Linked DNA regions of Canis lupus familiaris. The protein of the gene in region 2 binds, or shares a complex with, the protein of the main gene of each other region. Links are inferred from orthologs where the notes say so. Each region holds a gene or a part of one and is shown on either strand. Other genes may lie near its edges. The genes, in order: BET1L and STX7.

Region 1 (4,558 bases), on a different chromosome or scaffold from region 2:
ACCAGCCCACATCGACCCCGTAGTCTGGTGTGTCTCTCACAGCTGAGGCATGTTCTCAGGGAGAGGTCAGCAGCACAGGCCCAGGGAGGGGGGGGGGACGCAGGCCACGGGTGCACCTGCCGTGTGGCCAGATGGACACTGCAGGCTCCATTAACCTTGGTGACCAGCGGACGTGTCCCGGTGGCAAGACAAGACGTAGCAGGAGACCACCAGAGAGCTAACTCAGATCCACGGTGTGTACGTGGCGACTGCGGAGGAAAGACCACAGGGCCCGAGAGGGAACGTCGAGTCAGGGACACAGCAAAGCTCCACAGGCAGGGAGGCCAGCTGACCTCCCTGGATGAGCAACTAGCATCTGGAGGCTAAGGGCACTCAGAAGATGAGGCCGAGCAGCCCAATAGCTGCTGTGCAGGAGATAAGGAAGCTATGATGACCACGTGCCAAACTTGCTGCAGGGACAAGGGCAAGAGAGGGGAGGGAGGCAAGGAGAACACAGAGCAGCGGCAGTGCTGAAGGGGAGGCGCCCAGGGCCAGAGAACGGAGCTGATGTGTGGTCGGCGCACGTGTGATCACCCACGGGATGAGGGGGGGAATGGGCGGACAGCAAACCAAGTTGTCCTCTGGGAGGAAGGGGGAGCGACTGGGCTGGCAGAGGATCGGAATATAGGGGAAGGAACCGGGGAGGACACAGCTAGCAAATCATTTCTTATGTGTCTTCATGCACATACGAGGGTGCGGACGCCCAGCTGGGCCTGCACTTTGTGGTTTGTGTGAACATGGGGCTGGCCAAGCGGGCAGTGAGGGCTCAAAGAGAGGCCAGGGATGAGGCAATGATGAAGAGTCCCCTTATTCAGGGAATACTCACTGCTGAAAGGCCTCACATGGTGGAGGGGAAGCTGCCCGGTGACCCCTGGGTCTTATAAAACTTGTTAGGGAGCCCTCTCGTCTTGACCACAGAGGTGCTGCACCCCCACCCCAAACACACAGACAGAAACCCTTCTAGAGCTCCCATCTCTGGTCTCCCAGAAATACGTCTTTGGTGTTAGGTAGATCCTGAGTTCCTGCTCCTGAATACAAGACTGTGGATCCAGAAGGATCAGGGCCCAGTGCCTCTGGCCAAGGTTGAAGTCCACTTCTTCATCCACAACCCCCTGCCCTTCTCCGAGGGTCTGGGGGGCAGACGTGACCTCGGGGCGGAACCCCTGGCGCAGACCTGCCCATGTTCAGCAGCCCTACCGAGTAGCTGCTCCTCTGAACAGAGCAGATGGTGCTCAAAGTTCATAACCGAACCCCCTTCCTGTGTCAGCTCCAGGCTGCTCACGTATCGGACGTGACCTTACCCAAAGCCTCAAGACGTCGAAGCCCCAGGGGACAAGGAAGGGCTGCTGGCCACAGGTGGCCACGTCGAGGATTCACACCCAGCTCTGCCAGGGCCTCCACACCCCGAGTAGCACAGGGGCTGGGGCTTGGTGTCCCCAAGGGAAGGAGCTGCACTGCATGGGACCAGCCAACAGGAGCTCACTTGGGCGCAGGCAGCCGTCAACTCCCAGGCACACAGCAAGAAAACTCCCAGGCCGGGATCCCCCTTTCAAAGGAGTATTTTGCAGGTAGGTCCTCAGGAGCCTAGGCCACCAGGCGGGGGAAGACCCTGGTTGCCCCTGCACCCACAGAAGTCGGCTTCTGGTGGCTCACGTCCTTGCCCTTGACAGAAGGTAGGAGAGGATGAAGAAGACCACGATCAGGCCCAGGGCCATGCCACACAGAAGCTTCCGGTTGTCTCGCCCGGACCTCGCCATGGTGGAAAAGCGCTTCACGCTCCCCGTGAGCAGGCCTGTCATGCTAGTGAAATCCGAGTCCTGAGGGAGGAATCCCAGCAAGGTCACACAGGGCGGCGCCTCCACGACTGCCACGCAGGTGCCGCAGCGCCACCAGGGCCTGCCCGAGCGGCCCGCGCCCCGCGCCGACGGAGCCCCTTACCATGCTGTCCAGGTACCGGTTCTGGTCTTCTGCGTCCCTGTCGATGTCCAGGGCCAGCTGCTCAGAACGCGGGGCGGGGGGCAAGGTCAGGCCAGAAAGACTCGGTGGGTCCCGCCCGCGAGGCCAGCGGACCCGCCAACACCCGCCGGCGGGATCAGGCCGGGCCTCCCCGGGCCTCAGACACCAGCGCCCCGAGGAAGCCCGGGACCCTCCCCAGCCTCTGCCCTCCTGTCCCCGCTCGCAGGGAGGACCGCACTGACCGACTTAAGCCTGGTGACCTTGGAGGCCAAGCTGTCGGCCATCCGCTTGTTCTCCCGGTCTAGAATCTCCTCCACGGCCGCGGGGCTCTGGGCTGCGAGAAGGGACAGTCTGAGCCTAGGACCGCAGGCGCGGAGGCCCCGGTGAGGGGGGCCGCGGCCCCTGCTCGGCCCCCGCGCTGCCCCGGGGCTCCCTCCGTCCTGCGGACAAGCCAGGGGCCGCGGCCGGGGCCGGGGCGCGAGCGCGGACAGCCCGCGGAGGACGGCGCCCGGGGGTGGGCCCGCGCTGGGAGGCAGTCACCCGGCGGGGCCGCTCGGAGCAGCACTGGCGCGGGCGCGGCGGCCCCGCAGGTCGGCCGGCAGCCAAGGCTGAGCAGCGCAGGCCCGAGGCCCCCGCACCCCGCGCGGCCCGGGGCGACCCCGACCGTCGGCCACCGCCCGGGCTCGGGGCGCGGACGTGCGGCGGGCCGGACGCCCCGATGGCGGGCCCGGGTGCGCACGAAGGCCGAGGCGGGCTGTCAGCGTCCCGCCGCCCGCCCTCGGCTCCTGCCGCCCCTCCCGGGGAGACCAGGGGCTCTGGGGCACGCGAGGGGCCCGCCCGCCGGAGGCCCCGGGCGGAGCAGCCGCGGCCCCCCGACCCCAACCCGCCGCTCACCCCGCGCCCAGTCCGCCATGGCGCCCGCCCCCGGCCCCGTCCCCGGCCCCGCCCCGCCAGCGGCCCAGCCACCGCCTCAGCGGACGTGGCGCAACCGGGGAGGACCGGGACCCCGCCGCTTCCGCTCTGCCCGCCGACTTCCGGCCGACGTCCGGCCGACTTCCGGACTAGGGGGGCGGGCCTTAAGTGCCGAGGACGCGTGACAGACGCCGCCAGCGGCCAATGGCGCGGAGGGCGGGGCCGGGTCCCGCTCCGGGCGTCCCCGCTTTCCCCCGCGGGCCTGGCTGCTGGGGTCGCCGCGGGTCCCCGCCCCAGGCGTTGCCGAGGGGACGCGGTGGAGGCCAGGGCCTGGAAGACGCAAGGGTGACGCACTCCGAAGGGAAGCGAAGCCAGACGGGGGCCGGGAGTGTGGGGGCAGCAGAGGCCGTAGCGGCCGGTGCCTCTTGCCTTGGTCCCGGCGCCGCGGGAACGGAGGCGGCCCACAAAGGCTGGCTGCACGGCGGGCACCGCTGCGACCACACACACGGGAGAGGGAGCTCAGTCCAGGCCACACACCTGGGACGTGGCTGCCGGTGATCCTGACCCTCCCCGCCCTCCCCTGGAGCTCAGGGACATGTTTGCGTCCCCGCCGCGGCCACCGAACGACCTTCCCCCGGATCCCTTCTTATCGTCCGGCCTCAGCAGAAATGCTACTTCCGCACATCCCTTTGCAGCCCACTTTATTCGCCACAGCGCTGAGACCGCTGCCCGTGGCTCCTTGCCCTCACGTGCGAGCTCACGCTCCCAGAGGGCCGGGAACCAGCGGTCGGCGGGTCCCGGGGCCGCAAAGTCCTTCCCACTTCGCTTTTCCCCCGGACTTGCACTGGTGCTAGGCATCTAGGGGGGCGTGCGTGGGAAGGTGAGTGGGTCCCCGTTAGCTTCGGAGGCCGCTCAGCTCCGAGGTCGAAAAATCACCTAGTAGGACCTTTGAAACTCGCGCTCACTCCCCGGCAAAACACTCAAGTCCCAGCCAGCTGATCCAGGTCTCGCCCCCTTAATGAACCTACAGCCCTGGCCCCGCCCCGCGGCGCGCGCTCCCAGTCCCGGCATGCCGCGCGCGCAGCCCTGGCCCCGCCCCGCGCGCTCCCAGTCCCGGCCTGCCCCGCGCGCAGCCCTGGCCCCGCCCCGCCCCGCCCCGCCCCGCGCGCTCCCAGTCCCGGCCTGCCCCGCGCGCCCAGTCGGGGCGGAGCGGCGGAACTCCGCCCGGAGCCGGGAAGCAGCTCCCCTTCCCGCCGGCTCGGCGCGGGATCCCGGAGGCGCCATGGATCCCCGGGTGGTTGCGGATGCCGTGGAAGCGGGCGAGGAGGACGTGATCATGGAGGCTCTGCGCACGTACAACCGGGAGGTGAGCGCGAGCCGTGAACGTGCTTGCACGGAAGAGGTGGGCCGGGCGGGGCTCGCGTGTGCGGACCCGGGCCTGCGGGCTGCGGGCGGCGGGCGGCGGGCGGCGCGCGGCGGAGGGGCCGGGGTCTGCGCGCACCTTGGGGGACGGGGAGAGGCGGGGGGGGTGCGGGCGCCCGCGGCGGCCGAGCCCGCTGAGCCTCCCCGTCTCTGCAGAACTCCCAGAGCTTCACGTTTGACGACGCCCAGCAGGAGGACCGGAAGGTGGGTGCGGACCGAGGGCAGGGGG
Region 2 (4,411 bases):
TTTAGTCCTTTTCTTTCTTATTCTAATAGTCCTATCTAGGCGACAACAATGGTTGGCCCTTTTGATGAAATATGAAAAAAAGGAGTCAAATGACTGACTTTACTGCAAAAACATATACACAGATACACTATAGTTACAGCTAACTATAAAATGACTTAAAAGTTTATAATCTTTGCATATAGACCAGAATAAACCAAGTTATTCTGATAGCTGCTGTCCACACCAGTCTCCAGCACCTAGCCCAGATATAACAAGCTTTAAGCACTCTTGACGAATATTTTTGAAAGCTCATTCAGAATTCCTAGTTTTATTGCTCAGAATAACATAACTCATTATCCATACCTGCTCTATCAAGTATTCAAAAATCACATGTGAGGCCAATGATTTGTATAGTTCATGTAAAACATTTCCATCACAGCATAAAGTTCTACTGAATAGTGCTTATGTAAACATCTTAACAATTACATTTCTATGAAAATATATAAGCACTGTAAAGGGAAAGAAAGAAAGAGAGGATCAAAGGGCAATACTCGGGGATCCCTGGGTGGCGCAGCGGTTTGGCGCCTGCCTTTGGCCCAGGGTGTGATCCTGGAGACCCGGGATCCCACGTCGGGCTCTCGGTGCATGGAGCCTGCTTCTCCCTCTGCCTGTGTCTCTGCCTCTCTCTCTCTCTCTCTCTGTGACTATCATAAATAAAAAAAACAAAAACAAAAAACAAAAAAAAAAAGGGCAATACTCATAACAAGGATATTCTCAAGACTTTCTGTAGAGCACAAATAAAAGAACAAAGAAAACTGTGAAAAGTTGTGTCAAGCACTACTCCCAGGTACTACTACTGTACACACTGCAGAATCCTAAGACTCTCATTAAACATAAATCTCATGCTCTATAAATCAAGCATGGATAGAGCAATAGAAATAGTCAGTTTCACCTTCTTAATAGTGTGTACTGGCATAAAACAATGGACTTAACTCTACCCCTTACCCCAAAATATAAGTACCCAGAAGAGCAAGGTTTTGTCTGTGTGCTACATTAGTCTAAGTACTGGGTTATGTAATAGGTGTTTAACAAATATCTGAAGACTGAATGAATAAATGTGTCTATTTCCTAAGAACACAAACCTAGTCTGAGAATAAACATTACCAATCCTCAGACACTACATTCCAGTGTCTTCTTTCAGATCCTAAATGTACTGGGCTTATTATTGCCTTAGGGCCTTTGCTGAGTGCCATTTCCTATCCCTGGAAGGCTCTTCCCATGATCTTCACATGACTGGCACCTTTATACAAGCAAAGTCTCATGGCATGCTAGGTAAGTCTTTGGTGACTTCGGATCTGCAATGAGAAGTTACCACCCCGGCACTCTCTGTTGATCTAACTTCCTTTATCATCATGCTACTCACCACTCTAAAATGATCTAGGTAGTAAATTGCCTTCTATTCCTACTTTGGTGATATAAACACAAGACAACCTTGTCAACCTTGCAGAGTCCACAGTATAAGGCGCATAGTGGATGTTCCATGAATGGGGAGACGATCATTCCATGATAGACATGAGTGTTCTCTATCTAAACCAAATTAACCGAATTCTTTAGCTCAGCATCCCCATCTGTTAAATTTTTATACTATTTGGTTTTACTCACAATACCAAGGGTTACTTTTCACCCTTCCATACACTAAACTTTAAAATTAAATGGAATCGCAGCAAACTTTACTCAGACTTACTGCAGATGTTTTATATATTTATTTTTCCATCCTTAGATCTTGGCTAAAGTTTGATATCCTAACTAAAATGAGGATATAACTCTACCACTGGGAGCAGCAGAAGTAAAACATCTGAAGGAAAATGATGCAGACATTCGGAGGTACTGTGGTATCATTTTAACATCTATGGAAAGTCTGAAACTAGACCATAATTCTTAATTAGTCACCGTCTGAGACAAACTTCCCAAAGCGGCCTTCAATGCAAGGCGGTCCACATCCCAAGACACGGCTGAACACTGCTACAAGCCCCTGCCCTGCCCGGGTGAGGCTAAGGCTCCTGAAAAAATGTCCACCTGCAACATTACTCAACAACAGAGCCCTTCAGAATCATTTTCTTCCAGATTCTGTGAAAGTTTTAAATTATATATAGTCATAGCCAAAAGACACTGATCTAAATCAAACAAAAAAATCAATGTATCTATAGGAAAGCCAAGCAAATACACGAAACCGGAGAGGGAAAAAATATATAGCATTTGACCAGAAAGGTATTTTTCTTTGTGTCTGAATTTTTAAAAAGCAACAGCCTAAAACACAATAAGGGGGGGTGGGGTGGGGGGAGGAGAGGCGGATCTTGAAATACTTTACACATTCTTAAAGGTTTTGGGTAAATCATTAATGACATACACTGAGATCAAAGAAAAGGTAGCGTGTCTTGAAGCCAGACAGAAAACCAACCGCAAGGAGCCTCCGAAGGGACAGATGTTACACGGTTCCTTTACTCTCGAGCCATCCAGTTTCAGTTCCTCTGTGTTAGGGAAGAGAGCTTTAAAATGTGTTTTCTAACTCCATGCGTCGTAAAGAGGAAGCGACCGCTCGGTGACCCGCTCCGGGCAGCAGCAGCAGGACTCCCGAGCTCCGCCCCAGCCGGCCCCGCCCCGGGGCGCGCAACCCGCGGGGGCACCGGAGCCAGCGCTCGCGGGATCGGCGGGCGCGGGGCCGGCGGGATGGGCCGGGGCGGGCGGGATGCGCCGGGGGGGGGGCGGGATGGGCCGGGGCGCGGACCGCGGCGGCGCTCCCGGTTTGGGCAGCGCCCGCCCCCCCGGGCTCCCGACCACAGCCGCAAAGCGTAAGGCGGCGGCCAACTGGCAACGCGCACAGACGAGGAGGCGCGGCCGCCGCGGGGACTTAGTGCCTCAAGAACGCGGGATCCGACCCCCCGCCCCCCAGGCTGCTCTTACCCCGGCTCCTCCGCGCCGCCTCCTCCTCCTCGGGCCAGCCGCACCCACCGGCACCCGACCCCCAGCTACGGTTCTCAGCTGATGGGCGGTGGCACTGGGACGCCCAGTGCGCATGCCCGCGACCCGGCTCTGGGGAGGAGGAGGGGCTCGTCCCCCTCTCGTTGGCCAATGGGCTTGAGTGACAACCATTCTGCCCCGCCCCCTCCGAGTCTGGGCTAAGGAATGGGGGCGGGGGACCAAAAAAAATTTGCAAAGGAGGTGTTTTTCGAGGCCTAGCCTTACAGACGGCAAAAAACCAGAGGAGGGAATGGAGAGCAGCTGCGCTGATCGGGTGATGGCGGCCCCCCCAGGCTCACGCCTTCAGCCTGCCCCATCAGGGCCTGCCCAGCCTGTCCTTACTCTGCAGTGGAACGTATCCACAGCTCCATTAAAAAATGGTAACGCAAATAAGCAATGCTAGCAGGAACAAAGACAGCATAAGTGAAGAGTCACCTTCGTGTGCCCATTTAGTAGACTAGTTTTCATAGCACATGCACGTCGTTCCAAGCATCCTTGAAGGGTAGAGTGTTGTTTCAGCAGGGTTTGAAAAAAGCAGAGAATGTTCTACTGGTAACTATTAAAACATAATGTAATTGTTAGATAAATGCATCAGTTGCATTGGGTGAAAGAAATACTCAGCAAATTAATTAGAAGATAGAATGGGTTGGCCTTTGCCTGTATTAAGGCAACACTATTATTCTGAAAGGATCATCAGGACATGAAATGTCCAGATGCACTTAGGTGAAAAAAATCAAAACGAAATGTCTTGAGTTGGTACCATCTGAGCCAACTCTAGGTTGTTTAGTAGTGTACATACATATGTGCCTAAGAGAGTGAGGTCAGACAGGAATAAGAAACACAAGGGTCTCTCAGTTTGTTTTTAATTGTTCTGTTTTTAACAGAAAAAAGGGGAACCAGAAATATTTCCTATTTCACATCTTTCCTGAAGTAAACTGCAGTACAAGTGTTTTAATAGACAGCCACCTTTATTCTGCTTCTAAAAGGGGGGCAATAGAGTGGGTCTGCTGGCCAAGCAAAAGAAATTCATTCCTTCTAAAGGAAACAGGAGGACAGCCTGGGTGGCTCAGCAGTTTAGCACCACCCACGGTGTGATCCTGGAGACCTGGGATTGAGTCCCGCATCAGGCTCCCTGCATGGAGCCTGCTTCTCCCTCCGCCTGTGTCTCTGCCCCTTTCTCTCTGTGTCTCTCCTGAATAAATAAATAAAATCTTTAAAAAAATAAAGGCAGCATGATTCAGTTAGCACTGATTGCAGACTTTCGGAAATTCAGATTTTTATGTGAAATCCCTTTTTTCAATATTCTTAAACTTTTAGAAAGCATTATTTGCTCAGATAAAGTATTTCAGCTTCTATAAGGCAATAGTTTCAGCTATAAAGTATAAAAAAAAAACAAACGAAAAAAGCTGGAGGA

The links.
Region 1: STX7 (region 2) and BET1L share a complex: the UniProt entries of both Homo sapiens proteins name them as parts of the SNARE complex. The link is inferred for Canis lupus familiaris from reciprocal best matches to the Homo sapiens genes STX7 and BET1L.

The regions. Positions count from the first base shown.
Region 1 is NC_049239.1:25,711,135-25,715,692, forward strand, and holds the start of BET1L (BET1-like protein), read right to left. Parts: upstream 2,997-4,558; 5' UTR 2,909-2,996; coding exon 2,890-2,908; intron 2,330-2,889; coding exon 2,238-2,329; intron 2,035-2,237; coding exon 1,978-2,034; intron 1,857-1,977; coding exon 1,689-1,856; 3' UTR 1-1,688. Other genes in the region: RIC8A (synembryn-A), read left to right, coding at 4,190-4,273, 4,486-4,533. UniProt on the Homo sapiens protein: Vesicle SNARE required for targeting and fusion of retrograde transport vesicles with the Golgi complex. Required for the integrity of the Golgi complex.
Region 2 is NC_049222.1:25,723,490-25,727,900, forward strand, and holds the start of STX7 (syntaxin-7), read right to left. Parts: upstream 3,075-4,411; 5' UTR 2,941-3,074; intron 2,607-2,940; exon of another isoform or gene 2,387-2,606; intron 1-2,386. UniProt on the Homo sapiens protein: May be involved in protein trafficking from the plasma membrane to the early endosome (EE) as well as in homotypic fusion of endocytic organelles. Mediates the endocytic trafficking from early endosomes to late endosomes and lysosomes.